Linked DNA regions of Caenorhabditis elegans. The protein of the gene in region 1 interacts with the protein of each later gene in a pairwise test. Each region holds a gene or a part of one and is shown in the gene's direction. Other genes may lie near its edges. The genes, in order: gst-39, pkc-2 and bra-1.

Region 1 (8,596 bases):
GAGATGTTTTGGCTAAAAGAATTGTTTATTTTTCGACGCCACTAAACTTTTACAAACCTCAAAAAGTCGTGAGCTATCTGAACAGTGATTAATGTGCAAGCAGATGAGTTACTATCCCGGTCACCATAATATGATTGCGACAGGCTCAATGGAAGTACCCACACATGGACACGATTCTGAACTTACTTAATTATTTCGCTGACGCGAAGTTTTTAGGTTTTTGTGCAAAAAATTTGTTTCTGGTCTTGACTGACCGCCTTTTTAAGTTTTGAAATTTTGCTTTGAATGATAGAAAATGGGCCGTAATTAACAGATACATATAACTTTTAATTTAAAAATATTAGAATTTCTTTTAATTTTTATAATTTAAAGCAAAATTTCAAACTATAAGATTTCATTAAATACTACATTCATACCTCAAAAACCTCCGATCGGAAATTAGAATTCGCCATCTTGTTCCAATGTTCAGAATGTTCATAACTCAGTGGATTATTTATTGCGTCTCGAGATCTAAATTTTTTTCACTAAACTTTACTGAACTTAAACTCTTGATTCCATTCGTAATACCTCCGCGTTGTACACAATCCTGATTTTGGAACGCACATTAGTTGATTGGAAGAAGAGAGGAAGGTGTGAGTATTGGAGTAATAAATTCAGAATCGCAGAATAATAGTTTTTTAAGAGAAAAAGTTCACGTAAAATTAATTTATTTAATATTCAGAATATATTTTACTGACTAAATAAATGTACATTTGGAGTATAGTCTGCATCAGTGCAGGATCTGGGAGCTCATCCGTTTGATACAACTTGTGCGAGCCAGTCGGAACTTAGTCTTGCAGGCTCCATTTGGCTTGAACCTCAACAAGCCACTTAAAAATTCGTCTTGCATGCATGACTAATGGTGGAAATAAGATTTATTAATACCGTGATCTTTAAATTGAGCTAGATGAATTTCAAAATCCTAAACAGAAGAGTTTTCTGAATTCTTGAATTTTCTGGGATTTCTTTATTCTCTCTTTCTCACATCTGCCCAGTCTAAGCCTAAGCCTAAGCCTAAGCCTAGACCTAAGCCTAAGCCTAAACCTATGTCTACTCTCATGATATTTACTTTTCAAATTAACACGTGAATTTAAAAAATGAATCCCTCGGTTAAAATGGCTTCAAGTAAATTTTTACATGTTTTCCGTCACACCACAAACCACATTTTGTCACGAAAGTTTCTGGAAAATGCTGACAAACATCGAGTGAAAGGAAATTACTACTAGAGAATTAGACATCCTGTTAAATAGACCAAGTGGGATTAAACATCAAAGTATGAGACGCAGAGTGGAGGAGGAGGGTTTTTGGAGAGCGGTGTGTATTTTTGGAAGTTTTTCTTATAAGTTGAGTTTTTGAATTGACAAGTTTATAAAAAACCATTGTCATTTAACCAACTGAAATTTTAAATTTTAAATGTTTTTTTTAAATAAAACTGTAGCATCACAATTTTCTATATAACATTTTTCCGCTTTTTCTGAATGTTAATTGCGTCTAAAGTAACACTAACAATATTCCCAACCTTGGTTTTTTTCAAAAAAAAAAGTCTCTAATATCTCTTTTAAGCCTGAAAGTTAACATATAACTTATAGTTTCAGTGAAACCACTATGCCAACCTACAAGCTGACCTACTTCAACTCTCGATTCTACGCCGAACCGGCTCGCATTCTCTTCCATCTTGCGGGGGTCCCATTTGAAGACATCCGAATCATCCATGGAGATGGTACTTGGGAGCAGATTAAGGATAGTAAGTGAATTTTCATGTTATCATCTTCTAATGTTATATTTCAGAAACTCCATTTGGTCAAGTACCTGTTCTGAACATCAATGGATTTGAAATTCCTCAATCTACTGCAATCATCCGCTACCTTGCAACCAAATTCGGATACGCTGGGAAAACCCCGGAAGAGCAGGCTTGGGCTGATGCAATTTGTGATCAAGTCAGAGACTTTATGGCAGTTCCATTTAAAGATATTGTAGTGGCAAAACGTGTTGGAAAGACAGAAGAGGAAGTGTCACAGCTTATAAATGAAGGATTCGTCCCTGGCAGAGATGCTTACTTCAAAATCATCACAAGGATCCTTGAGAAGAACAAGTCAGGTTTCCTTGTTGGTGATGGAATCACATTCGCCGATATTGTTGTCGTGGAGAATTTGACCACGTTGCAGAAGAATCAGCTCTTTGAAGCTTCGAAATATCCAGAACTGGCAGCTCTCAGAGAGAAGGTCTACGCGATTCCAGCCATCAAGAAATGGGTCGAGGCTCGTCCAGATACTCAGTATTAAATTTTGAAAAACAATTTTTTACAATAAAATTCCTTGATTTCATACATCAGTGTTCTCAAAAGCTACTAGGTTCTCTACACTTCGGACAATAAATCTTGAACCATGGGTGGGCGGCAAACGATTTTTTCCGGCAAATCAGCAATTGCCGGAGTTAAAAATTTCCGGCAAATCGGCAAATTTGCAAATTGCCGGAGTTAAAAATTTCCGGCAAATCGGCAAGTCGGTAAATTGCCGAATTGCCGAGTTGCCTTTTGTGGTTTTGCACATTTTCTTTTGGAAAATTCAGAAGTGTTTCCGTTGCTTAAAAAAGTCCTCTAAAAATTTCCGGCAACTTTATATCCGGCAACCGGCAAGTCGGTAAATTGCCGGAATTAAACATTTTCGGCAATTCGGCAAATACGTAAGTTGCCGGAATAGAAAATTTTTGGCAAGTCGACAAGCCAAAAGCTGAAAAAAAATTTGCCGAATTTGCCCCACCCCTGTCTTGAAGTATGCAGCTCGTGTTAACTAGAAAACTATTGAAGTTTATCTAATGAAACTTACTTGCAATTAGTTAGAATTTTGAAAAAAAAATCACAATTTAAAAAAAACGCTGTAAATGTGTGCATCGTGCGCCCAAAATGCCAATGCTGCAAGGTTCTTGATGAACAATTCGCAAATTAACTTCCCTTTCTAGATCACACGAAAATTCTTATTCCCGTGTCCTTTTGTTTCAATGATAATGATAAATGTGAAGCTTCTTCCCCAATCACATGCTTATCTGATAAATCTGAACAATTTTATGCTTTCAAATCACATTTAGACACAAAATCTTCTGCTCGAAAATGCTGACAAATGGGCGAAAACGGTGATCCTTTTTGAGCTCGCGTCGAGGCTCGTTGCGAAATAATTAGAACCAAACATCGGCAGCTAGACACAGCATGTGCGAGAAAAAGGGGAAATCGGGAAGACGGTGAGAGACGCAGGGATTGGGAGAGTAGTATATATACACCTGCATTGAATGATTGTTTGTCAAAACCTTCCCATTTTTCTCTGTGAAAGCAGAAATTGATATATCAGGTTGTCCCATAAGTTTTTGTACTATTTTTTTTTTGAAAAAAATTTATTTCTCTCAAGCGACAAGTAGTACTATTCACACAAGTATTCACCATTAGTGTCCACCACTTGTTGCCATTTACTAGGTAACATCATGATGCCACGGGAGAAGAAATCCGGCGAACGCGATGAGAAGAAAGTGGAGAGTTCAGTTTTGAGATGCTCTTCGTCGTCGAATTGCTTGTCGCGCATGTAGTCACTGAGAGACAAGAACAAATGGTAGTCGGTTGGTGCAAGATCTGGAGAATATGGTGGATGCGGTAAAACAGTCCAACCAAGATCTTGCAGCTTTTGGAAAGTCTTCTTGGCGACATGAGGCCTAGCATTATCGTGAAGAAAATATAGTTTTTCATATTTTCCGTTGGTCTTTTCTGCAACTCGGTCCAATTGGGCACAATAGTAATCAGCAGTGATAGTTTTATTAGTTGGCAACAATTCCCAGTGCACGGGTCCTTGAACACCCCACCAGACACAGATCATAATCTTTTTTGGGTGAAGATCAGGCTTTGGCGTCGGTATTCCTTTCTCACCGATCGGAAGCCATTGACGTTTTCTGGAATGGTTAACATAGAGCACCCACTTCTCATCTCCAGTAACCAGATTGTTCAGCCAATCGAACTTTCGACGAAAAGTTAGAAGTTGAGTACAAACGTTGACCCGAGTGAGCTTCTGTGATGCCGAAAGTTCATGAGGCACCCAAATTCCAAGTTTTGAAGTAAAACCAAGGCGACCCAAGTGACGTGCAATTGTGCTATGACAACACTCAAGCTTCTCTTCCATTTCACGAAGACTAAGACGAGGCTCTTCCTCCACCAGCTTCACTAGGTCTTCTTCATTTAACTCTACCGGTCGCCCAGAACGTTCTATTTCTTCGAGACTGAAGTCGCCGTTCTTGAACTTTTGAAACCAACTCTTTGCTGTATTATAAGAGAGTGCTCCCTCACCCATCGCACCGCATATGTTTCGTTCCGCTTCCATTGCTGAATGACCAAGACGAAATTCATAAAGAAGAAGCAATCTAACGTCTCGACGTTCAAGTTTGATGATTGTCATCGTGGCAAAGTAGAAATGGATGAAATGAATTTTTTCTGAAAGGGGAAGACCCGACCTTGACACGACCTACGATGAAAAAATTTTAAAACTTTCTAGAAGTTTTGGAAAAATATTTGAAAAAAAGTACAAAAACTTATGGGACAACCTGATACATAACTTTTAAGTTTATTACAGCTTTCCCTACTCCTTACTTAATAATCAGTTAATTTCAGATGCCTTTGTACAAGCTCACCTACTTCGACGCCCGCGGTTACGCTGAGCCAGCTCGTATTCTATTCCATCTTGCCGGAGTCCCATTTGAGGATAACCGTCTCACTCACGGAGATGGATCCTGGGAAAAGATTAAAGACAGTTAGTTTTATATTTCCACCAGCTAGCTATTTCTACAACTCAAATCTTACAGAAACCCCATTCGGACAAGTCCCGGTCCTGTCTGTCGATGGATTTGACATCCCACAATCTGCTGCAATCATCCGCTACCTTGCCAATAAATTTGGTTATGCTGGAAAAACACCAGAGGAGCAGGCTTGGGCTGACGCTATCGTCGATCAATTCAAGGATTTCATGGGAGCATTCAGACAGCTCATCATGGCTCAACGCTCCGGAAAGCCTGCCGAAGAGATCGCAAAAATATCGTCAGAAGTCGCCATTCCAGCTAGAGATTCGTACTTTAAGATTCTCAATGGGCTTCTTGAGAAGAGTAAGTCTGGATTCCTAGTTGGAGATGGTCTCACTTTCGCCGATATTGTTGTCGTGGAGAACTTGACTACGTTGGAGAAGAACCAATTCTTCACCGCATCGGAGCATCCAAAGTTGTCAGCTCTCAGAGAGAAGGTCCACGCAGTTCCAGCCATCAAGACCTGGGTCGCCACTCGTCCAGATACTCAATTCTAAATTTGATCTGATTTTGGAATTGTTTCTTTAATCCTTATTAACCGAATAAAATATTTTTGATATTCATATTCCGAAAAATAACTGTTCATACCCATGGTAGACATCAATCCAACAGAAATTGTTTTAGGGAGCCTTGCACAAAAATTCCAGCCTGCCTGCCTAAAGTATTTGAAATTAGGGAATAAGGAGAGAGAGAGCACGATATAAACATCAAACGTTGTAGTTCACTCCAAATTGAAAAAAAATAGGCGGTAGGCAGGCACGGTAGAAATGTAGTCCAAGCTTACCTTATTTTAAAGTATATTAAAACAATAATTTTGTGTAACATACCGAATTTCCTCTATAAGTTTTTTTGCACCTCGTTGTTTCACTTTAAGAGCATATATCTCAGCTGTCGGTTATTCTATCAGAAGATTGCCAACCAGGGGTGTGCGGCAAATTTTCCGAATTTGCCGAGTTTGCCGTTTGCCGAGCTCGACAAATTTCAAAAAAGTAGATTTGCCGAATTTGCCGAGCTCGGCAAATTTCGAAATTTGCCGCACACGTCAAAAATTTGGCAGGACAATTTTGACCAAAACTGTTGATTTTTGCGCCAAAAATTTGGTAAAATGACACAAAATTGAGTTATTTTCATGTTTAAGCAGACACACCACACGGAACTTATTCATACACCAGTTGTGTGTTAAGAATGCAGTAGTTTTGGTGCTCACAAAAAACATCAAAAAATATCAAATTTTTCCGAGTTTGTCAAGCACGGCAAATTTGCCGAATTTGCCGTGCTCGGCAAATATTGGAAAAATAGATTTGCCGAATTTGCCGAGCTCGGCAAATTCTGAGATTTGCCGCACACCCCTGTTGCCAACTAACAAAATATTTGTTATATCATTTTCTATTATTTTGTAATTAATTTTTCATCATTGTCTTTGAAATAAACCGAGATATATCCTTTCAAGACAAAACAATACTATTAGTAAGGTTCATAAATCTAAAGAAGGTGTCAATGTGTTGAAACCACACCCGAATTATGTTTTGAACAACTAATTGGGTATTGTTGAACAACATTTTCAAAGCCCTCTAGAAAACTGTCAATATGAAACCAAACATCGGCCATAAAATACGACATACAAGTGTTGACAAAATAAGAAAGAAATGACGACTAACACTACATTCAGCGAGAAATCGAAATCAAGAAGTTCATTTTGTTATCGTCTTTCGTTTTTATTAATGTGTTGACAGTATGGAATTAAAACTTTATAATGGAATTTTCCACTTTCTTTTAAAGATGTGTTTGGAAAGTGCTTTATTTAGTTTTATTTCTCATTTTTAAAGAAGACAGTCAAATCTGATTTCCAAAACTTTTCGCTTTTAAGAGTTCAATTATGCCTACCTACAAACTGTCCTATTTTGACGTTCGTGCCTACGCTGAGCCAGCTCGAATCCTCTTTCATCTGGCGGGAGTTCCATTTGATGATCATCGTTTTCCACATGGAGATGGTACATGGGAAAAGCTTAAAGACAGTGAGTTTTTCTTACAATTAGAGGTGAACTTCAAAATTGGTAAATTATATTGAAACCTTGTTTGATTTCCAACGTTCAAATTACAAAACTTCCTATTGTTGTATGATAATCGGTTTTTTTAAGTTAAAATTATTATATAAATGTAGGAAAAGATTTGCTCAATTTGAAAATCCTATTTATTTTAGTCGAAAATTTGAAAAAAATTCTAATCGTGCTGAAAGTTGACGTTTGCCATTAAAAGTGTTATGTAGCAGTTATTCTTAACTTTTGTTCATCAGACACAGACTTTATCCCTATTTTTTGGACACATTATTAAATGATAAGGTTATGTAACAAAGCCTCAACCCGTTCCCACTTTTTCTGTATTATTCCACAATATTCAATATAATTTATAATTTATAATTTTTCCTCTTTTTTTTTCTCTTATTTTCACGTTTAAATAAACGTATTCAATAATAATAATAATGTATACTGTTCAGATCAAACGAAATTCTTCCTAAATTTTTGTTCAAAAATTTCTTATTGAAAATTTACAGTCTATTTGAAGTATTTGTCAAAAAACGGGCCCAAGAAATTTTCAATCACAAATATTTATCTGAAATTTTCCAACTATTTTATTTTTTCCAGAAACTCCATTTGGCCAAGTTCCAGTTCTATATGTGGATGGATTTGAAATTCCACAATCTGCTGCAATTATTCGCTACCTTGCCAATAAATTTGGATACGCTGGAAAAACTCCAGAGGAGCAGGCTTGGGCAGATGCTATTGTGGACCAATTCAAAGATTTCATGAGCCTATTTAGAGAGTTTAAACTTGCACAAAAGGCTGGAAAATCGGATGTGGAAATTGCCAAAGTTGCCTCAGAAGTTGCAATTCCTGCTAGAGATTCGTATTTTGAAATCATCACAAACCTCCTTGAAAAGAGCAAGTCAGGATTTCTCGTTGGAGATGGGCTCACATTTGCTGATATTGTCGTGGTGGAAAGTCTTACCAACCTGGAGAAAGTTCATTTTTTCGATGCATCGGAGCACCCGAAATTGGCAGCTCTCAGGGAGAAGATCTACGCAATTCCGGCAATCAAAAGCTGGGTGGATATTCGACCAGATACTATTTATTAATTTAGTTTCTGGATTTCTTTTGTGAATAAATTGAAATAAATTCAGAAATATTCATGCAACTATTTTTATACTTACAATTAGAACAATTTTATTTTGGCGGGGACCGCGGACAAATAACGGGCGAGACCACAAATCAGGGGTGGGCGGAAAACGATTTTTTCTGGCAAATAGGCAAATAGCCGGAATTGAAAACTTCCAGCAAATCAGCAAACTGGCAAATTGCCGGACTTGAAATTTTCGGCAAATCGGCAAATCTGCAAATTGCCGGAATTAAAAACCTCCGGCAAATCGGAAACCGGAAAATTGCGGAATTAAATTTTCCGAGAAACCGGCAAATCTACAAATTGCCGGAATTGAAAACTTCTGGCAAATCGGCAAACCAGAAAATTGCCGGAATTGAAATTTTCGGCAAATCGGCAAATCTGCAAATTGTCGGAATTAAAAACCTCCGGCAAATCGGAAACCGGAAAATTGCGGAATTAAATTTTCCGAAAACCCGGCAAATCTACAAATTGCCGGAATTGAAAACTTCTGGCAAATCGGCAAACCAGAAAATTGCCGGAATTGAAATTTTCGGCAAATCGGCAAATCTGCAAA
Region 2 (13,780 bases), on another chromosome or scaffold:
AGCCTACTACTGCATCGTATGTCTTGCTATAAATATACATAAGGATGGCATTCATTTGTATTCCGTAAGAAAAAAAAAGAAAAAAAAGAAAAATAACTCGGCTCTCACATTTTCGTCGGGTTTTTTCTAGCTTTTCTGTTCACCGCTTTGACAAATTTGAATTTTTTTTGAATTCTTTCTCTCAGTTTTAAATTTTCACATTTGGAGAATTCTCACTATTCTCATAATTTTCCAGTATCTCAGCTTATACATGTCGTTCCTACTTGATGTTTTGGACAAGAGGGGTTTTCTTGGATTATGTACGAGAAACAAAAAAATGTGCGAAATATGAGAAACCAAAAAAACACAAAGATTTTGAAATAAAAGTAACGATCAAAGTATATTCTCATATGTTTTAAAAATTGTTATTACTGAAAAAAGAAAAATACAACTTAAGTATAAAACTTATAAGCTATTAATTTTGTACTCTAGTTTTAATTTTTTCCAATAATTTTGCACATTCTCAAACACTTTTGAGAAGATTTTTCAGTTAAGAAACAATCGAAATATAAAATAATTGAAAAATTAAATTGATACTACATAGCGTTTAAAAACTATTTTGTTTTTTAGGATTTGTATTTTTGAAATTTCATTTTCAAGATTTTTATTTAAATTTAATTTTTTGAAATGATAATATTTTCTAATAACTTCTTTTCACAAACTTTCCAATACTTTTTTCCAAATTCTCCTACATATTTCATGTGTGCATTGAAAAGTGGAGAAGGCAAACAGCATTTTGTCCCCACTTACTCGTCTTTCCTTTTCTAATCTGCACACTTATGGACTGATATCACAAGAATGTGGAAAATTATTTTTTTCCTGGTGAGAGAGAACTGAAGATGATTTTTGTATGGTTTCTTAGTAAGAAGATTTAAATAAAACGTGCAAATGAATACAAATGTTTTCTTCCTGGTTAATCGTTTGAGTTAAGTACTGAAAAAGCTTTATTTGGTTTTTCAAATGCGTCATCTTCTTTATTCCAAGCTTGGCTATATAAATATAGGCCGTGAAAAAGGCGAGAAAAGAAAGCAGAAGCCAAATGCAATTTGCACAAAATGTGATGAGATGGAAATCAAGATGTACTTGATTAAGATGGACAAAGGCCCAGACTGGATGAAGTGTTTTGCTTCAGGCCTACAAAATATAGCAACGGATATCTAAAAAAACATTAAGACAAAAATAACTTAATGAGTGGGTGGGAAATAAGGATCAATTATTATTGTTTTCATTCTGCCCAGTTTCAATTAAAATAGCTGAGGAGAAAATTAACTCTATTCAGAAGGTAGGCGTTTGAATGAGCTGAATTTTGTTAAATTGCCTATTTGCAAACCTTTTTAGAACAATAATTCCCAGTCATATTTTTATAGATTAAAATTTTTTTAAACTCTCCCATGAGATATGTCAGCGGATTGTTCCCTCCTACCAGGGCTGTGCTCTAAGTTTTTCTGAGTTTTTTTTTTTTTTGGTGGGACCAGCCGACAGCCGACACCCAAATTAGAGTTTTCGGCTTTCGTTTTGAAAAAAATTAACTCTTTTTGACATATTTAACACTAGGTGCAAGTTCTACAAGTGGAAAAAATAAGGAAATTTGGGTTTTTGTTACATAAAATGATAAAATATTTTGCTATAATTTGTTTTTTTACTAAAAGTATACTAAATAACTTCGAAACTTTTAAACAATACTTAGCCAAAAATTCCAGTCGGCTGGTGGCGCCAGCCGACAGCCGAAAAAAGTAGCCAACCGCACAGCCCTACCTCCTACCTGTGCATAGAAATAAAATTTTTAGCAGCGAGTGGTTTCGATCCACCGACCTCTGGGTTATGGGCCCAGCACGCTTCCACTGCGCCACGCTGCTCTTGTTTGACAGCAACAAACTAGCGGTCGATGAAACGAGCGTGTAGTGTTGCAAAGTTGGCCGCAACAAGAAAGAAACAAAAAAGAACGAAACTGCGAGATATAAAAAAGTAACTCACAAGGGGATTGCCTATAAAAAGTTTGCGGTCGATGATGATGAGTTGCCGGAAATATGGTCCATACAAGCAAGAGTCTGCTCATCTGGGGGTAGATGAAAGCATAGAAGTTTTTCAATGTTCATCCGGTTCACTGCCCTCTATGATGTAATAAGTGGTGCGCTCTTTGTTGTTTTCAATGTGATGAGAGCACAAATAACAACAGTTGAAAAACGAAGAAAAAAAAAGATTTTCGTCTGAATTTACATCTGAGTAACTGATTTTTCCTACACCTCGATAAAACACGTCTAGCAAATTTAGTTTTTAAGTTTTTGCAGGCGCCCTTTCTTTATAATTTTTTGTTTCAAAAAAAAACATTCTTTGTTCTCATTCTCATTTCTCACTTTTTGCTGTAGATTCTCACAAACTACTTGTCCGTGTTTTCTCTTCTTTATTCGTTGCATCTTGAAAAGTTGAGGTTTTCTACGTAATATCTTGAGTTGAAGTGACAGGGAGAAGGATCCTTGCTATCTATCTCTTATTCTATGCGTGATTTGATTGTAGGGCCGTTTGACCATGTGCTCGTGAAGAAGTCCGTTAAAAGAAGAGGGCTATAACTTAGTTGCCTTTTACTCTTCTTCTCATACTTCACTTTTGCTTCTTTTTGTCAACAGCTTCTGCTTCTTATTTGGCTTATTTTCTTATTTTCTTCTCTTCTTTTGATTGGAAAATCTCACGTTGAAATTTATTTTTCTATGAAAAAACGATTTTCCGAAAAAATTAGGCATTTTCAGTTCTTCGTTCTTAGTACCTTACCTCGCATGATTTGCTTAAATATTACCCAGGTTTCACAAGTTTCTCTATTCCCTTTTCCCTAAGTTTTTCTTACTGAATAATGTATAAGAATGTGTACGTGTAGTCGATTTTCTAATTCATCGTGTGCTTAAAAACTTGAACTAGTAATAAAATATCAAGTCCCTAAGAAAACAGCAAAATTCAAATTTCTTCACTTGTCTTTGCACCCGACAAATACCGGATGATCCCCTAGTTCAAAGACTTCCCCACACTCTTCTTTTCTGCTAAAAATAGCCAATAACTGCGCACTTATTATAATATCCAAGGCGCACAAGCACTGAAATATCCTCCTTATCAGTGGTGAACAGTGGATTAATTCTAGATTGAGAGCTCAAAAATTAGTTTTGGGAACAAAGCTACAAAAAGTTACGTATTTTGTGAAATTAAAATATTTCTTCTTGAGTTAAAATTATTATTGCCATAATAATCATACTTGAGAGTAATAATTTCTACGCAAGACTTGATCAGCCAGCCAGCTTATAAAAGTTTAATAGTGAATCAATCTATCGTCTTATTCCTCATATTATTTTTTTTTAATTTTTTTGTAAAAATATGTTTCTAAAATTATATTAGGTCTCCAAATAAGTTCCGGGTCAAAAATCATTTTTAAAAAATCCGTCCAAAAAAATTTTTTTGGTTGGTCGTCAAAAAATCTTCGAAAAATCTAGATTTTTCCTACAAAAATGATGTAACCAATTATAAACTATTTTTACACATGCAAAAAATTTTATTATATTTTATGTTATCATTTTAGTGTGACAAACTAAACCCAAATGTTTTGTATGTGTAAAAGTAATTTACACTTGGTTACATCTTTCTTGTAGGAAAAATATAGAATTTTCGACAAAAAGTTTTTTGAAGATTTTTTGACGATCAAATTAAAAAATTTTTTTTTTGGACGGATTTTTTCTAAACTTTTGTTGTTTTCTAAAAATGTATTCTAAACAAAGCAAAATCCGCACACAAACCTCAATTCAAAGCTGAAAAGAAGCGAGATCAGAAAAATGCCTGAAAAAATTGCCTCCGAGTTAGGACACTTGGGGTGGTAAAAAATTTTTGTGACTATTGTCAAATGAAAGATCATGGTTGGTAACATACATCCCAAAGTTTCATAAAAATCGATACGCAGCGAACAAAGTTATGATTTTTGACCCGGAACTTATTTGGAGACCTAATAGTACTTGTGATACTAAATATAAATAAAATTATAGTACTTGTGACACTAAATATAAAAATATATAAATTCATAAACCTGCTGTTTTTATTCAGTTTCAAATAAGTATTCGAAAAAAAAGAACTTAGTTGAAAATGTCCAATTAATAGCGTGAAAAGCATTATTTTCCTGAAAGCTCATATTAGCTTTTGTTTCTTTTTGCGAATTAAATCTACCGGCAAAAAAATATTTGAAAATTTACAACCTTGATATATTTGCATAATTTTCAAGATTGTAAATAGTTTTGTCAGAAACAAACAGTTTTTGTCATCATCTTACATTCTTGGAATCAAAAAAATTGGATGAGGAAACCAAATGCCTGAGAGCAACAGCTGAAAAGTTTTGCCCTTGTGCTCAAACACACAAGAAAATAATGAGCGAGAAGCTATTGGAAACCTGATCCGTGTCCCGTTTTTTTTCCTATCCTCGTTCTCAATTCAGGAAAAAAACTAGAGGCAAGGCTTCTTCTGTTTCTCCTTCTATGTGCTTCTTCGATTGACTTGAAAGGTGTGAAGTATGTAAACTTGACCCAAAAATTTAGCTTATAAAAAAGAAGCTCAAAAGAAGGAAAAACGGCTCAGCTTTATCGCTGCTGTCGCTTCGTTCTTCTCACGGACGTACGTGTGTATGTGCGTATGTTTATAAGCTTCTTGGCTTAGAGGATATCGGAGGCGGAGACTATGTCTGGATTTGATACTTGTGCACCGCTTTTTAATTGGGCAATATGATACTCGCCACAAATCCGGGAAGCTCCTCCAACAGCTAACCAGGAGAGAAAAAGGAAGACGTGTAGTGGTTTTACCTCCGGCCATCTGATATTATTCTCTTCTAGAGTTCCATTTACTAAATATTTGAACTACTGATATTCTTACTCATAAACTTTTAAAATGAGCCTACGACCAAAGCAAAAGTCATCATCCACTTCGGTGTTCTTAAAGTCTCACAAGTTTTCGTTAACATCTCATATTTTAAGGTAAATATTTCTTTCACGTTTTCTGTTTCTGGTTAAATTAATTATTGTGTTGACGTTCAAAATTCTTGCCAATTCTTACCTCCCTGCATTAGTTTGTGTTATTCCATTCATCCCTTCATCATACCTCCTCCCATCTGCGATTTTCATTAAACCATTGTAAAAGATTTATTCTGGTGAAGGAAGGCAAAAAAGCGCGAGACGATGGATAGTGCAGAGCGTCGACGATCCGAGACCGATATTGGTGGTGGTCCCAGAAATAGCGCTGATGCTCGGCCGAGCCTCGATCTGTCGTCCGATCCTATGCTCGAGTCGAATCTTGCACTTCGTAAACTATCTGAAGCTTTCGGTAAGTCGTCAAAACTATTCAGTAGCATAGAAAAAAACACAAGTCCTTTGTATCCCTCTAATTTGTATTCTGACGTTTCATGTGGTTCTCAGGCGAGTGGTGTTTAGTACACACATGGGATAGGGCCCATTTTGGCGTGAAGAATGTAGTTAGGGGAAGTAATTTTTTAAAAATTATGAATTAAATCAATTAACTCTAAAAACATGTTCAAAACCTTCATCACTGATATTCTACATATTATGATTTTTTACCGTTTGCAGTTCATATTTCTTGTGTTTAACAATTTTACCGGTAGACGCAGGGTGACATCCTATATTATCAAATATGAAAAAGTAGTGTTAAAAATATTTGGAAGGTTTCTGTTTACCAAGATTATTTTTATTCAGGTTTGAGAAGAAGCAAAGTCTGAAAGTAAAGCCCTTTTCAACGGACTCATTATTTGAATATGATCTACAAAATATTATATTTTTCACTGTAGTTAGTAATGGTTAGCATATCTGTGTTAGTACGTGATTCTGATAACTTTGTAGTTGTTTCCGCAATTTCTCTCGCACTTTGAAAAACTATCTAATTAAAAGCACAACTGGGCAGCTGTGGCAGTTTTTTGAAAACTAGGTTCCTTTCTATCATCTTCACTCCCTATCTGTCAAAAATGCCCATTGATGAATCATTCAATTAAAATGTCCATAGTCGATTAACTGAGAAATCTGTTGCCATTTGCCTAAAATTGACGTCAGAAAACGCATTCAGAAAAAAAGGCGGTTGTCTGAAAAAAAGCTTCCATGTGACTGCTTCATTTTAAACTTTTTTGTTTGCTCTTTTCAATCGCAAGTGAGCCAAAATAGAATTAAACATCTCAGGGAAAAAACGACTAAATATAAAATTAGAAATTAGAATTGGGACATCACAATACATACCAACGCATTGGCATTGCAAAAAAACAAAAACCAGTTTCCTTTTGTCATTGATCTTCCAATTGACATTGATTGTATTTTAAGTTTCGAGAAAAAATTCTTTAGAATTTGAACATCATATGTTTTCCTTAAATTTTCATGAACAAATTTATCTTATGACTAAAGTTAATGTTTTTCAACATAGTGGTAGACTTAATTTGGAACAATGCTATGTATTAATTTGAGGAATTGTTAAAGATAAGAATGGATGTTGTAAAAACGCCAAAACAAAAAAGTGATGATAAACATAGTATGATAAACGTTTGATTAAACTTTTTTAATATGCAATTTCAACCATAATTTTTCGGAATGTTTTGTTATGATATTTAGCAATGTTGAACTATTAAAAATACGGGGTTAGGGTACTCCTCTTTTGAAGTTTTTAAGCTGGCTGATAGCGGGTATGAATTAAGGTATCGTTAAAAGAACATTAAATTCGCCGAACAGCTACACGGAAAACTTGAAAATTTATAAATTAATGTATTCTACCTTATATTAATCTCTAGTATCTAGTGCATTTATGAACACCTCCGCATTCTGTCATATGCCCATTTTAAAATTTCAGAAGTTAATTATCCAAATAATTCATAGTTTAATCGGCAACAAACATCGCACAATCGCCTTTTCACCGACATAATTTGTTTTTCTTCGCGTCTTTTTTACGAGACTGATCTTTTAAGTTCACATAATTTTACAAACGGGTATTTTTGATTTTGATAGTATGGAATTTTTTAAAGATGGGTTCAAAATCAGGCCACTCAGTCTTTTTGCAAAATTGCAACCAGATTGAATAAAAATCAGATTAGGGATCAAGAATTACAGGAAATAGGTGGGCGGAGTCAATCACGCACCAAGAAAAAACACAGGAGAAATGGAAATTGGAATGGGGGTGGGGTGGATGCGGCATCCATTGATGAGGAGTGAAACGGCGGCGGGGGCCTGTGGTCCCAACCCAAATTGTTCTATTTTTCATGTGCAGAACGACGCCATCAGCCTCGGCTTTTCATTTGCTAGGGTAGTCGTCGCTGCTTCTTCTCATTTCGGGACCTTAACCGAAAAAACGGGAGAAACGAGAGAAAACCTCCGTTTTTTTTCACGTTTGCTCACCGCCTCTAACTCATTTAGCTATCATCTGCTACCCTTTTCAAGCCCCGCCACCAAACGTCAGAAGCTCATTTGAAACATTTTATTAATTTTAATCTTGTACCACTTCATGGAAGTTCCACAAGCACAGTCTTTAGCGGCGGCTGCTCTAATCAGCCCTGTGAAAAACAATTCCACTGGTGGAGGTGGGAATCAACAACTTTGTATTCGAAAGTCTATATCAAACCCTTCTAGTCTAAAGGTTTACGCCCATCACGAGGCACCCGGTATCATACATTTTCCTAGATTTGAATTTTCTCATCGTCTATCTATCCGGCCATTGCTGAAAAGGCTTCACGAACAAGGTGAGCTATTCTACAAAACCTCCCAATTTGCTTCCTTTTTTGAAATTGATTACCAATGAAACACTTTTGAAACTGGCTTGGTATTGTTAGACGGAAATTTTGTTTGAAATCAGTGAGCAATATTTTTTAAAAAAAGTTTCTGAAGATACAGGTCCTAGTTGAAAAAAGGTCAAAACAATGTGAAGAGGGATTTGTTTTTCATCAGAAAATGTTTATTTTTATTAAGTACTATAAAACATTTGTTAGTTTATGTTTTTGAAATCTGACAGTATAAAAAGCCAATATAAAAATTAATATTGCAAATTATCCATGCAAAGTTAGCCCAACAAATAAATGTAGCTTTTCTCATTATGATTTTTTATTGATTTCTAAAATTTTTTAATATAAATTGCATTAACAGCAATCTTGTAAACAAAACAAACATAGTAGTGAAATTCCATTAAAATTCTTCCGTTCTTAAGAAAACAATAAATGGCAAAAAGTTTCTGAGGACCTCCAAGACAAAAGCATCTTCTGCCCGCATGTCCTATGACTATTGAAAAAGGGCGAAAATAAAAAAGTGACACAACCCAGTGTTTCCTGATAAAAATTGTTCATACCCTCCCATTTTCCCCTATTTCGCTTCCCACCATTCCCATGAAACGCGCATTTACGATTGTAAAAAACTTGCGACGTCGAATTTGTAGGTTTCTTGTTTTTTATGTTTTCAAGAGTAATCATTTTGTTCTTTAAAACATGCAAAAATAAAGTTAATCCTTAAAATGACCTCACGACACGGAAGCCAAACCCCATTTCATTTCAAAGTTTGCAACTATAGAAAACGAATACAAAAGGAGGGAGGGGAGGTTACACTAAGAAATAAAATGGTGGGGAAGATATAATTGCGCGGGGCTCGGAGAGCAAAACTCACCTATTTGATTCCCTTTTTCATGTTTGTCTTCGTTTCAGCTCAACGGATCGAAGGAAAAGCATTTGTTCGTCGTGGTGCACTTCGCCAGAAAAATGTGCATGAAATCAAGTGAGTTGATACCAAACTTTGAAACAAAACCCTCGTAAAAGTCAGCACTGTCCGTTTTCCTATCTTGGTTATTTGATAGCTGACATTTATTTTGACTGAAAAATTGAAAAAAAAAATTCTTTCATTATCTTTGAATATCATAGGTCTTTCAAATGAAAACAAAAATCAATATCTTGTTCTTGTTGCACAATTTTGATTCAAAGTTTAATTCTTATCAGATCGCACAAATTCATTGCAAGGTTTTTCAAACAGCCAACGTTCTGCTCACATTGCAAAGATTTCTTGTGGGGTATAACAAAACAGGGATTTCAGTGCCAAGGTAATTTATTGGAAATTTTATTTGATATTAATAATTATTTTCTTCTTAATTTGTATCCAATGCAATTCGAAACAAATGTTTATAAATCATAAAATGCGACTATAAAACAAGTTTGATAGATAAAGAGAACTCTGTTTTCAGTATGTACCCTTGTGGTACACAAGAGGTGTCACGAGTTTGTCAATTTCGCATGTCCAGGAGCAGATAAAGGAGTAGATACCGATGTAAGTTGTGCACTCTATCTTCTTTTTCTCTTCTTTTTTTATGACATCCATTCCTCAAACTTTTAATTTCAGGATCCTCGCCAGCAGCATAAATGGAAAGTTCAAACATACTCATCGCCGACGTTTTGCGATCATTGTGGCTCTTTGCTCTACGGTATTCTGCACCAAGGCATGAAGTGCCAATCTTGTGACACAAATGTGCATCACCGATGCGTCAAGAATGTGCCGAACATGTGTGGTACCGACAATACAGAGAAGAGAGGTAGACTACGAATTGAAGCACACATCGAGAATGATCAGTTAACCATTAAAAGTGAGTGGGGTGCAACGCAGGAAATTAAATGGAAATAGACAAAAAGATTGAAAGAATTGAACTTACGTTGTTCAATGATTCTCAGGAAAATAAATATTTTCATCAAAACTGCTAGAGTGTATAATTATCTTGATACACAACATTTGTTTTACAGTTCTGGAGGCGAAAAACTTGATTCCAATGGACCCCAATGGATTGTCTGACCCTTATGTGAAGTGCAAACTGATTCCGGAGGATTCGGGATGCAAGTCAAAACAGAAAACTAAAACATTGAGAGCTACTCTTAACCCTCAATGGAATGAAACTTTTACTTAGTAAGTCATTGTAACACTTTATTTAAAAATAAAACTTGGGTTTCAGTAAACTGCTACCAGGAGATAAGGATCGGCGGCTTTCTATTGAAGTTTGGGACTGGGATCGTACATCTCGAAATGACTTCATGGGAAGCTTGTCGTTTGGTATTTCAGAACTTATGAAGGAAGCAGCGTCCGGTTGGTACAAACTGCTCAGTGCGGAAGAAGGAGAATTCTACAATATCAACATCACACCTGAATACGACGAAGATATGGAAAAAGTGCGCAAGAAGATGAATGAAAACTTTGTAAGTATAAGTTCTAATGCAATTAGGTGTCTTTTATCGTTTTAGATCACACGAGACAACAGTTCTTCTAAGCCAAAAGACCCGGCTGCCCCAAGAGCTAGTACACTTCCTCTCGGCAGTTCCAATCACAACGTGATCAAGGCTTCTGACTTTAATTTCCTCACTGTTCTTGGAAAAGGATCGTTTGGAAAAGTGTTGCTTGGCGAACAAAAAACAACAAAAGAGCTGTTTGCGATCAAAGTGCTCAAGAAAGATGTGATTATTCAAGACGATGACGTGGAATGCACAATGACTGAGAAGCGCGTCCTTGCTCTTCCGGAAAAACCATCATTCCTTGTTGCTCTGCATTCGTGCTTCCAGACCATGGTCAGTGCGCATAACAGATTTATTGAAAAAAAGGGATCAAACATGTGGAAGTATTTAGATGTTAATAGATGTTCGAATTTGTAATACATTGTTGACATTCATCCACGTGTTTTTCCCTAGGTTATTGCAAATTATTCTGTAACAGTAAGTATGACATTGAAAATAATAATTGTTGGATAGATGGAATATAATATACATAAGTCCTGAAGGCACTTATTTTTGAATGAAAACTCTTCAAACCCCCAATCAAATCCGTATTTTGATGAATCTCTGTTTCAGGACCGTTTGTATTTCGTGATGGAATTTGTAAATGGTGGTGATCTGATGTATCAAATCCAGCAAGTTGGGAAATTCAAAGAACCAGTTGCTGTTTTCTACGCTGCTGAAATTGCCGTCGGTCTGTTTTTCCTTCACTCAAAAGGTATCATCTACAGAGACTTGAAATTGGATAATGTTATGCTCGAACGAGACGGGCATATAAAGGTATTCCGATTTGCTCAACTGTTTTTCAAACTATAGATTCATATTTAGATCACCGATTTTGGAATGTGCAAGGAAAACATATTCGGAGACGCCACGACAAAAACATTCTGTGGAACTCCGGACTACATTGCTCCTGAGATTATTCTATATCAGCCTTATGGAAAATCTGTGGATTGGTGGGCTTATGGTGTCCTACTATTTGAAATGCTTGCAGGACAACCACCATTTGATGGAGAAGACGAAGATGAACTTTTCACAGGTAATTTGAATCCCATATGGTTTTAAAATAAAATTGTTAAAACTCAGCTATCACCGAGCATAATGTGTCCTACCCGAAAAGTCTATCCAAAGAAGCTGTGTCTTTGTGCAAAGCATTGCTCATCAAAAATCCATCAAAACGATTGGGATGTACTGGAGACGATGAATCAGCGAGTAGAGATATTAAGGTAATGAAAATGAAATTATTAAACTCAGGTGGCCGTTGGTTAGTTTTATTTGCTTCAAATTTGTTTCGCCACATTGGCTTAGACAAACTCTTGATCTTGAAAAATTAATATTTCATATTACCACCTAAAACAAATTTCAGGAACATCCATTCTTCCGCCGCATTGATTGGTTCAAAATTGAGACTCGTCAAATCCAACCACCATTCAAGCCAAAACTGGTTCGTTCTTTTTTGTTTCAGGGATTTAATATGAAATGGGGCTGCTTAACAGTTTAGCTATACCGGTTGTCTAATATGTTTTAAACTTTATTGGGTATGAGTCAATGAGTTTATTTGTTTTTCCTATCTGCTTTCAACGATTCCCAATGCTTTACCAGAATACTATCGCTTTATTAAAATGATTCAATTCAACATCAGTTGTTTTTGATGTTCGAGAAAAATTAAATTACATCAAACATTTAATTGTTGGAACGTTTCGCATGTTGTTATACATTACTTCGAAAGCATGACACCCATGAATGTATCTAACCCTACTCACAGCTTACATCCCACTGCTCTTCCTGGCATGTTATTATCGTTGTGAATTTTTTCAGAAGACCGATAGGTCAACGGAAAACTTTGACCATTCGTTCCTCAAATTGCCCACCAAAATGACACCGCCGGATTGGGAAGTTTTGGAAAATCTCAAGGGCGACGAGTTCAGCAACTTTTCATTTGTCAACCCGTTTTATGTCAAAGATGTAGAACCGTGATCATATTATTTTTAATTATTTCTTCTCCTGGTATTCTATATATAAATACTAACCCTCTTCTAATTAACATTTCACTGTTTTTCATTTGTATCCAGTTTCATTGTAAACATTTTCACAATATATGTAGTTTATTATCGTCTGTCCGTTGGTAAATTTTTGAATTTCACAACTAAGAAAGCGTTATAAGGAAAGATGTTTTTGTGGATTGAATCTTTTGATTCAAGTGGATTTTGATTGTTCTGTTTTTCGAAAAATTTATTGAGCCAAACTAAATTTAGTTTACAGTTTGAGAAAAATGTGATCTGCAAACTAAATACTCAAATAATTGAACAGTAAAGACATGTTCATTAAAGCGCTTCTCCCCACGATTACGAAATAATTTTTACTCAGTTATTTGAACTACGGCGGACATTGAAAAAAATCCCACGAACCGAGTTATTTCTAATATACTAAAAATTGAATTTATGAATTTCAATTTTAACGATTTGCAAATTTTGAATCTCGGATCTGTTGTGAGTTTTATTTCAATTCCCGTAACTATGTTGTTTTCAATTTTTCATCTACCCCTCTCAAAACTTAACCAAACACTAGTATCCTGATGAAACTCTGAACCAAGTCAAATAAACAAAAATCACATCAAATCAATTCTGCTATTTCTAGCCATATTTTTTATGTACTATTTATTTTCTTAATTTTGCGTCCTTTTTTATTGCTTCCATATCTTTCACATCTTCAACTTACACTCTCCGCCATTCATTCCCCACTTCTATTACTATCAGCTTCTGTTTTTTTTAAATTTCTTTTTAAAAACAATTTTTCTCAGTCTCCCTATAATAAAATCAAAGTTTTGCTTGTGATTTTTCTTTTTTGAATTGATCAACACCAAATATATGTAGATTGTAATATTTGTGGTTTAATATTCTCGATATGCTGATTCTGTATAACCTCGTCGTGGATTGGTGTTCACTAACCAGGTATGTCGTCATTTCACCTTGTTCTTCCCTACAGTTCACCCGTCTTTTTTAATGAAAAAAAAAGGATGATTTGAGTATTTGCATGCGTTTTTAATAGTTCATAGATAATTGCATTTTTATCAACCACATCGGATATGGTAGTTTTATTACATTAATCTAAAAAATGTTAACTGTTTGGAAATGGGAAAATGTGCAAACAAATATGAACATTAGACTGACTTATTACAAAAATAAATGAAAAAAAAGCAACTCATAAAAAAACAATAAAATGAAACAAGCCGATATTTTTAAAATCACGAGTCTTTTTTTAAGTTATTGGTCCAAAAGTTTATTTAAAGGTGTTTCCTATTAGAGATGGAATAAATTATAATATTGAAAAATTAATACGAGATCATATTAGTAACACAAGAGCATTAATAAAATACCAATCAATTGTGTTTTAAGTGAGAAAAGTCTCAGATATAATCTTAATTTTTTATTCAAATCTAAAACCACAAAATAATTGTTT
Region 3 (9,130 bases), on another chromosome or scaffold:
CTAAGAATACACGGCAAGCATTTTCAGTACCCAATTCAATGTTGTCCAAGAATTTCAAATAACAAAATAGGATTCATGCAGTACTGATTATTGAAATAATTAAAAAGGTTGAACGTGCTTTATTCAGATATTTACATGGTAACAAAGTATACATCATTTGAATACAAAAAAAATGAGTTGAAACATTTGGAATTTGGACCTGAGAAGTGCGGCAGTGCAAAAATAATTTCTACCATTAGTGCCCAGAAATTACCAAACACCAGTTAAAAAACTAATTTGCACTGCCCCCACTAAAAAAATATTCGACTGTGAGCTACTCACAAGAAACCGCTAGGCGCACATCGAAACCGAGAAAGAAGGAAAAAAAATGGCTAAGGCTGAGAATGAACAATGAACCGTTAATGGAGTTATGGTAAGTTTTGAACTTATAAATGGAATAAATAAAAATAACGTTTTCCAAGAAACAACGAATGAGAAATGTGAGAAAAATCAGACAGGAAAAGTGAGCGGAGGCGAGAGAGATTTGGAGCTAGTTGAATATAGTTTAGATCAAGTTTCACGGGCGATTTCCTTCAAATACTCGTTCACTTCAGCCTGGTCTGGAGCATCTGGCACCTCCCAAGATGATTCGATGGGGTTTCTGATCTTTGTCTTGCAAATCGGGCATGAGAAATCGTGGCGGTATTCCATTTCGTTGGCGATGCATCGGATGCAAAAGGCGTGGAGGCACGGGAGAAGCAACTGAAAAATAAATAAAATATCTTTATTTTTATTTTTCAATACTCCGTATCTACTATTTACAGTTTTTTATTCAAATATGTTCTTTATGAGAACTGGAACTTTGGAAATATTCCTTGAGCTCAAATGAGTTTACCGATATGAATCCACAGATAAAAATTTGCGGAAAAATGCCTTAAAATTATCCAAAGTAAACAAGTTTGGGATTTCATAATTGTTCATTTCGAAATCTTGATCGATATTTTCTCAAACTCATGTTAATGAACCAGTAGAAGAAAAGTTTTTAAATATGAGGAGCACTACCAAGGTTTTAGATTCCAAAATACAAAATGTACGGACCCACTAATGAATTAATTTTGAATACGAAATTGAAAACTTACATCGTTGATGTTTTCCATACAAATCACGCAGTTACCCTCGACATCCGATCTGCAAAAAAAAGTTGAAGTGACCTGTGAAAAATTTTAAGGTTAAAATTTACTAACGAAACAGTCTTAATTAAAATACATTTTCTTTCCAAATATAACGATATCAGTGTATACTTTTTTCTTCGTGTAACTTACGTTTGAGTCAAAATGAATTGACTAGTCGACATGGGATCCACGCTTCTTTTACGGCTTTCCTTGTTGGTGATCATCAGCTTATGTAGATCATATGTGGAGAGAAACTCGCGAAACGTCAGCTCCTTGTAGTTTAACACTTGCTTCGACATTTGATTAACCTGAAAATTTATTTTTTCAATGTTCGATTTGTACAATGAAACTACTCACCTTGCAGCAGAGAATTTTAATCTCTGACTTCCAGTTTTCATATCCTTCACGCTGATAGTCAATGTTCCGGAGAGCGAAGGCCAAGTACTCCTCGTTTTCGACAAGAAGACTGCGATAACTGAACGAATAAAATGTTAGTTAAGGTCGTGACGCCATATTTCGTAATGTTTGGGAAACTTCCGAGGAATCCGATCTTTGGTGCAGGGTTCATAAGCAAACACTTCAAAAAATGTTGCGAAAAGATTGTTTCACACTTTATGTCCAAATTATTTTTCGAACACCGCTAAGGAAAGCCTTTTTATTTATAAATTTTTAATTGTTGCTGTATAAAAAAAATAGTGGTATTTTCAAAAAGATTAAGGAAATTAAAACATTTGGAAATTATATTTGATTTTTCAAATTATGAATTATAAATATTGCAACCAAATTTGACTCTAACAAAAAAACATACTTTCGGTTCATTTCCTTAATATCGGCCAAAAATTCATCCCATGTGCATGACTGAAATCGTGGATGTCGTTTTGATTGATTAGTACCCATCCTGAAAAATATTTTATAATTTAATCTATTAATTTACAAGAAAAACGTATGTTTATGCGGAATTAGTCATGCAAAACACATGACATCAGGAAAATGGTTCAAATAAACTGCGAGCAGGGTGGAAGAGCGGAGTAACGTAGTGCGAGAAATTGAGTGAAACGAGAGACACAGAGAAACATAAGAAAACGTATCGCATGAGTCCCTTGCACTCGTGAACAGTGAGCAAATTAATTGTATGCAAAAAAGGCAAGCACACAAAGTGCAGGAAATATTCTGGAAATTAAACGTATAAAGACATTTTTCTAACAAAACAAAAAGTTTAGTATTTTATGAATTATCTAACAATGTAAGTCATTCTATAAACGTTGTCATCATACATCATACCACTTTTGAACTATCTGTTTTATCCAGCTTGTAAAAATCAGGCACCTCTATTTGAAATTTTTTCGTACACAAAAAACTGTTTTTAATAAATGATTACATAGGCACATTACGCGTCTTATCATATGGTTGTTAACCTGTTCAGCAGATAGAAAAATTGATAACAACGGAAATGAGTCATGTAAAATCGATCCGGCCTAACATAATTAGCCGAGCTCGGAAAGTTCCGCAAATCTACTTTTTTGAAATTTGCCGAGCCCGGCAAACGGCAAATTTGCAGCACACCTACTCAGATAAAGATGAAGCCGATTAGGATACATCAAGCAGATCAGTGCAGAAAAAACTGATTGTCCCAACCGACTTGAGTATCTTCGGAAGTCAATTATAGTCTAGTTAACTTAGTTAACTTAGTTAATTGTCTAGTCAACTGCAATCCACAGTCGAAAAAATGCTCACATAAAAAAGACATAAAAAATTATCACATTTTCCTAGTTTGTTAAGCACGGCAAATATTAAAAAACGATATTTGCCGAATTTTCCGAGCTCTGAACTGTAGAACTGAACTGTACATTATCACCCATTACTACCCTTCGTTTTGTTTCATAGGATCCAACAAATTTGGGCGTCAAGAAAAGAGAACGAATTGCAAAAAAACTGCAGCGCCAATATTTTATGGTTCTCATCTTTGCGATATTTTTATGTGCACCGCCGCCCTCATCTATTGCCGCGTTGGAAGGAAAATATACGATATTCAATGCTTACTTCAAAATTTATTCTGGATATTTTTGAAAATCTCGCAGACGTGTTCAGTCAGCATTCGTGGTTGAGGATATCGAACACAAAAAAAGATATCATCGATCACGTGTGATGACAGATTTTCTGCGACTAACAGGTTTGCTTAATAAAAGTTACTAAAACGCTGAAACTTCTGGAAATCATTTTAATACTGTTTTCTTAAGATATCTTTGCAAAACTGGAAAAATACCAGAAGATAATCAAAGTCAGTCAACCCTCTCTGTACATTTCTGTCACATTCCTTCTGTTTTTCTATTTGGTGCGTAAAAAACGAATATTGTTTTAAAAAACAATATTTATCCCTAAAAATTTCCAACAAGAATTTCCACATATTTCTCTTGATATTCAATTTTTCAAAATTTTCGGCTAGCTGGGCTCTAATTTCCGTTAGTCACAAAATCTCATTTCCCGTTTTGCGAAGCCCTTCAAGCTTCAATAATACACCATTTCAGCCTACGAGAATCATAAAAATTTTATGATTAACTACGACGTAACCAAGGGTATCTGAGCTTTTGGGGCAATCTTTTGAGATTTCAGTTTTGTTTCCAAAATGTAATAAAACATTTTCCCAGTTTAAGTTTTTTGTTAAAATTTTAATTTTTTCCTGTGTCGCACAGCAACAAGGCTTATAATTATAAGAAAAATTTCTAAGAATACGTTTTCAAAAAACTCATTTTTTCTTGATTTTCTTTTTCAAATATTCATTCTCAAATTTTCCATATCCACCCGGAAATTTATTTAAGTGCGTCAAACACAAATTCAAATTCTTCCTTTGTTTTGTAAATCAAAAAGTCAGATACGTCACAACGCATTCTGTTCAAAAAATGTAGTCTGTGAGCAGGTGACCAGAACCTTCCATCTCTCAATAATCTCTTCTTTATCCTTTCATTAGACTGCGCAACGCCCTCCGGCTCATGACCACATATCGACTCGCCTCATGGGCTCATTATCTGCCATTTCCTTTCTCTCTGCTCTCTCTTTTGCTTTACCTCTCCGCTATCTCTCTACGGTCGTCATTTGAATATTACCTCGAGACAGCAGACGGCCGTCTGCTCAGACTGGTGTAAACCAAGAGTGCCGTAATTCCGGAGCATCGTTGTATCTGCGTGGAGTTGAGGGGTTTTAAACGCTTTTGTTATTTTCTTTTTTATATCGGTGCTGACGAGAGTTTTTATTTTTGATTAGTTGATTTAATTTTTTTCCAGAGAAACACAGTTATTTACAGAAATGTCGGAAGAAGCTGAAGCTGGACCATCGCCAAAAGTTAATGGGGAAAATGGAAACGGAACAAATACGGTAAGAGCTTTTTTTTTTGAAAAATATAACAGAACAACTTTCACTAAAATTTTTCACCGGGAAAAAATTAAAAAAAATCATCTTTACAGTTCGACGACTTGTACGTGGATGACAAAATGCGTCGAATGATTGTCGACCTTCAGCGTCAATGGCTCACGGATTATCACGATAGCCGCGAGAAATCTCTCGTTGCTCTAACTGAAAAAGTAAGTCAACCACCCCAAAGTTTTAATTTTAGAAATCTATATTTTAGCTCCATCAAGAATTCATGGAAGATCAGGAGCGAGTCCGTCGCGATTTGTTGGTTCAGTTCAAGATAGAGCTCGACCAGACAAAGGAAGAGCTGGAGAAGAAGCACGCGGAGAATCTCAAGGAGGAGATTGAAAAGCTGTCGGAAAAACACCAAAGGGAACTTGCTGTCGCTAAGAAGAAGCAGTGGTGCTGGCAATGCAACAGCGAGGTGAGATTTTATGATTTTATGATTTTTTGATTTAGACGGGTTCTCTATTTAAAAGATGTAGAGTGTTGCCAGATATTTCAAAATCTCTAACATCAGTCTGAGTCGTGATACCAATGTTCATAGTACTATATCTTATTTGTAAGCTAATTTTCTTTCGAGCATGAAAATAATTCTTTTGCGCTCCAGTGCTGTATTAATAACGCTAGACCTGAAACATCATGATCATATTTCAGGCAATCTATCATTGCTGCTGGAACACTGCTTATTGCAGCGTTGAATGCCAACAAGGACACTGGCAGATTCATCGCAAGTTCTGCCGCAGAAAGAAGAGCAACGGTGGAGCCCCAGGACCAGTTCAGCCAATTGCTGAGCCTACTCAAAGTCAACAATGATTGAAACTTAAATAATATGCTATCTGCGAGCCGGAGGCCCTTTGAAAAGTAACAAAGCTTGTGTCAGGTTTTCGAAGTTTATCTCATCACACATCCCGTTTTCTGTGTTACTACTGTATATCTTCTCTCCAATAACATGCAATATTTTTCTATAATCCCATGACAACAACAATTTTAAGATCTTCTATATAAATCCTGTTAATTAGGAATTTGGATCAATTTCGGAGAGATCTCAAACTTGTGTTAATTCCTTCGAGAAATAATCAAGAAATTATGTGAATAAAGTTTATTTTGATACACATGTCCTTTTGGATACTGTAAATGTGAAAGATGACAAAATGAAAATGTTCCTAGACACTTATGGGGATCAAACGTGTTTTCACATCCGATGTGTATTGTATAAATGTAAACAATTAACGAAGATATGAATTGACATAATGAATTGAGAGTTATTCAACCTCTGCAATTAAAATGAATATAAACTTCTCTGAAAAACTATTTCAGAAAGCACCCAAAAATTCAAATTAGAAGGAGTGCTATGAAATTTACACGGATTGTACAACAAATATACTTTGTTTGAGTTTCAACAACGAAACGAATAGAAATTGCGATTTGTGAATAAATGAACATCGTTTGAGTATGTTTAACAACTTGCGATGCGATAATAATAGTAAATCTTGCTCAATAATGTGTAAGTGCTTTACTATTCATCAGACCGATTCCTAAATAAGGTTTGTCGATTTTTCAGAATTTTTCCGTAAAGTAAATCTAAATTAATTTTGAATTACCGATAATTAGGCTTTTTTCAGAATTTTGTCGCATTATTTTCGCTTTTCAACTCTTCTTGACGGAAAAAAATCGCAATTATTTTTACACTCGCCCTCTTGATTCGAAGCGTTTTTTGTTTGAAAAATTCTTTCTTTTCCTATCTCCGCAAGATGAAAAAAAAAATTACCTTAACCTATCTTGTCGTAGTACGACTAAAACTTGTAAAATTGTAGAACGCAAGTTCTGTTCATAACTAAAATAATTAATTACAGGAAAATGCATCCAAAGGAAACTGCCGATCAGGCGCCAGCCGACAGTGCCAATATACAGCAACAGCACACCGACACCAACATGCCAGCGGTGGAGCCAATGCCGGAGAGACAACGCCCATCGGATGTAGTTGGAGATGAAATCATCGTCTCTACTAATGATGACAGCGACGTCACAGAACCGGCCAAGAAAAAACACAATAGTGTCAGTCCAACAACTCCACCCGCCAAGCCGAAGGAACCAGCTCCAAAAACTTCATTGAGCAAGAGCGATAGCGGTTCGGCAGACGAGTTGAAATGTTAGTAATTAAAGTTAAATTATCTCACATTAAAAACGCTAATTCTAGATTCGAATCTGCTGGTCGAAATCGCCAACATCAACCATTCAGTTAAACAGCTTCTAACTGATATGGATACGGTGAAAGAAGATGTCAACAACACCAAGAACGCTGTCTCCAAGATTGAAACAACAGCACTCAATGCTGAAAAGCTTGATGAAGTGTACGGGATGATACACGAGATGCGTGGAATCCTCTACGTCATTGCTACGAAGGTGGATGAAATCCATCGAGCGAATGGAATTTCCACCATCAACGCCAACGTCGCCACACAAGGTGTAGCCGCAGCAGCTCCACTTAACGTCACTCCACCATCATCAGCAGCGGTCAAGCAGGTCACAAAGGTAACAGTGTAAAAGTTGATAAACGAAACTAGAAAGTTACAATTTCAGTTTTGCCACTTGTGCAAGAGAAACAACCATGCCACTGAAAACTGCCTCAAGTTTTCTTGGTTCCTACCTCGCAGAGAGCAAGCCTTTAAACGTAGGATGTGCATCAGATGTATGGAAACCGGAGTACGCAACACAGCGAATGTGCACGTCAACTGCAGCATGGCTCACGTGGAGTGCCCTTATTGCGCTGCTCTTTACAATGATCAGAAAGCGAAGTGTCACAACATCACGTTCTGATCTACCAAGTACAAAGAGCCACAATACAAGCCACGAGCCAACAAACGCCCGTCGGACAAGGTGAGGATGAATAATTTTTAACGTAATACCAAAAACCAACAACTTACAGCGTGAAGAAGCTGGAAGCCCAAACTATGTTCCTCTTGTAAAACGCAACTAGGCTGTTCACAGCAATCACAACCACAGCAACCACAGCAATCGTTAATTGTTTAACTTATGTACATTAATTCATTTTTCCCGTGTTCCACTGTTTTTAGGCATCCGACAGGGCCTCCACACATCTCACTTTTTTAATTCAAACTGAAAAATGTTTTTTGATATTCTTTATTTTTCTTCTTATTTCTCCTCATTTCATCTCATTTTTCTTATTTCTTATAGCCCTTTACTATTATAATGGCTTTTGTCTTATCTACGCTTCTCAATTTTCATTATTCTTACTTATACTATATTTACCACATATGAGTTGTCCAGTATGAGCTCGATCGTTAATAAATACTTTTATATATTTTTGCGGAAATTCAAAAGACATTTTTTTAATTTCTGAAAAATTTAAAAAAAAAAGTATATTTATTTATTTAGAAAATTCTGGATTTTTAAATGGTAAAGTTTGGTATATTGAGACTGTTTTTTAATTTTTTTTAGGCTGTAAAAAGAAAAATGGGCAACGCGCGCGGACACTCGTTTTGCACTTACTATTAAAAAGAGACGGGGTAAAAAAAAATCAAAAAGAAACAGGTACAAGCTAGACGGGAAAAAGTTCAAACGTCAATGATGTAAAAATTTTAGACATCTTGTTATGTTTAGTTATGTTTCAGACATGTTGAAAAAAAAAGTTTTATTTTTCAAATTTAAATAATTTGAAGTGATTTGTCCATTTGTGCAAACAATAATTTTGAAAATCAAAAATAACATAAAAATTATTAAAAAACATGTTCTTGATGCAGCAATTTTTAATTTTAATTTCAAAAAAGTGTTCGAAAGATACTCACAACAAAGTGTGTCTTCCAAAAAGTCTTTATATAAAGATGGCTGAACGTCCGAAAACTGATGAACCTATTTGAAAATCAGTAAAACTAGCCAGAGAACGGCTTAAAACGGCTCAAAAAACGGCTCAAAACATTCAAAATTTGCACTCTCAGCGAGGAGTCACTTATCATTGATTGTAGACAAAAATAAACAAGAAATATACTCCAGTTCGCGTTCCCCACGGTTCCTTCTTTGTTTATTTTTTCTTACATTCTCTTTCTCAAATATCACATTCAGATAATCTCAGAACAAAAATGTTTAATACAATGATAGTATGAAGAAAATTAGAAGTTTTTAAATATTAAATCAAATCCGATGTTTAGTCAAAACTTCAACCAAATACATCAAAAGCGCATAAAAATGAAGCAACAAAACAAAGTTTATTCAAAATACAAAACAAGACAACTTAACAATATTTTTACTGCAGACACTATTAGCGATCTTGTTTGAAATTTTGAAAAGCTCGATTAGAAATTGTAAACTTTTCAAACGAAACCTCACAAAAAAGCAAACTGAGATTATAATAAAAACTGGAATCAATCAACAGAGCGGTTACCAAATTCTTCTAACGACGGGGAAGTTTGATGCCGGTTTGATACTCGACAGGGATCAAATGTGTCATCACCGAAGTACCTTTGAGCAAGTACATTGCAGCGGTTTGAGTGCAGTCGAGATTGATGTATCCCTCGGAATCCTTTGAGATTTTATACTGGAAGTTGTTGCTTGGT

Evidence for each region.
Region 2: the proteins of gst-39 (region 1) and pkc-2 interact in a two-hybrid assay, tested with the Caenorhabditis elegans proteins (one large-scale study listed by BioGRID).
Region 3: the proteins of gst-39 (region 1) and bra-1 interact in a two-hybrid assay, tested with the Caenorhabditis elegans proteins (one large-scale study listed by BioGRID).

The regions. Positions count from the first base shown.
Region 1 is NC_003280.10:15,167,996-15,176,591, reverse strand, and holds gst-39 (glutathione transferase), read left to right. Parts: upstream 1-4,675; 5' UTR 4,676-4,681; coding exon 4,682-4,820; intron 4,821-4,872; coding exon 4,873-5,363; 3' UTR 5,364-5,429; downstream 5,430-8,596. Other genes in the region: Y53F4B.36 (Wsv310-like protein), read right to left, coding at 1-12, 58-176, 417-510, 568-605; gst-31 (glutathione transferase), read left to right, coding at 1,645-1,783, 1,828-2,321; gst-29 (glutathione transferase), read left to right, coding at 6,743-6,881, 7,509-7,999.
Region 2 is NC_003284.9:9,371,327-9,385,106, forward strand, and holds pkc-2 (Protein kinase C-like 2), read left to right. Parts: upstream 1-4,944; coding exon 4,945-5,030; intron 5,031-5,209; coding exon 5,210-5,376; intron 5,377-7,238; exon of another isoform or gene 7,239-7,369; intron 7,370-8,725; coding exon 8,726-8,795; intron 8,796-9,013; coding exon 9,014-9,114; intron 9,115-9,255; coding exon 9,256-9,338; intron 9,339-9,410; coding exon 9,411-9,651; intron 9,652-9,805; coding exon 9,806-9,965; intron 9,966-10,011; coding exon 10,012-10,252; intron 10,253-10,297; coding exon 10,298-10,618; intron 10,619-10,897; coding exon 10,898-11,101; intron 11,102-11,149; coding exon 11,150-11,360; intron 11,361-11,407; coding exon 11,408-11,547; intron 11,548-11,687; coding exon 11,688-11,765; intron 11,766-12,139; coding exon 12,140-12,298; 3' UTR 12,299-12,338; downstream 12,339-13,780. UniProt on the Caenorhabditis elegans protein: PKC is activated by diacylglycerol which in turn phosphorylates a range of cellular proteins. PKC also serves as the receptor for phorbol esters, a class of tumor promoters.
Region 3 is NC_003284.9:13,594,020-13,603,149, forward strand, and holds bra-1 (MYND-type domain-containing protein), read left to right. Parts: upstream 1-4,429; 5' UTR 4,430-4,451; coding exon 4,452-4,520; intron 4,521-4,609; coding exon 4,610-4,726; intron 4,727-4,773; coding exon 4,774-4,980; intron 4,981-5,213; coding exon 5,214-5,372; 3' UTR 5,373-5,668; downstream 5,669-9,130. Other genes in the region: F54B11.5 (RING-type domain-containing protein), read right to left, coding at 550-741, 1,119-1,167, 1,302-1,459, 1,509-1,626, 1,960-2,048; F54B11.7 (CCHC-type domain-containing protein), read left to right, coding at 6,417-6,708, 6,757-7,091, 7,140-7,376; F54B11.8 (Yippee domain-containing protein), read right to left, coding at 8,968-9,111.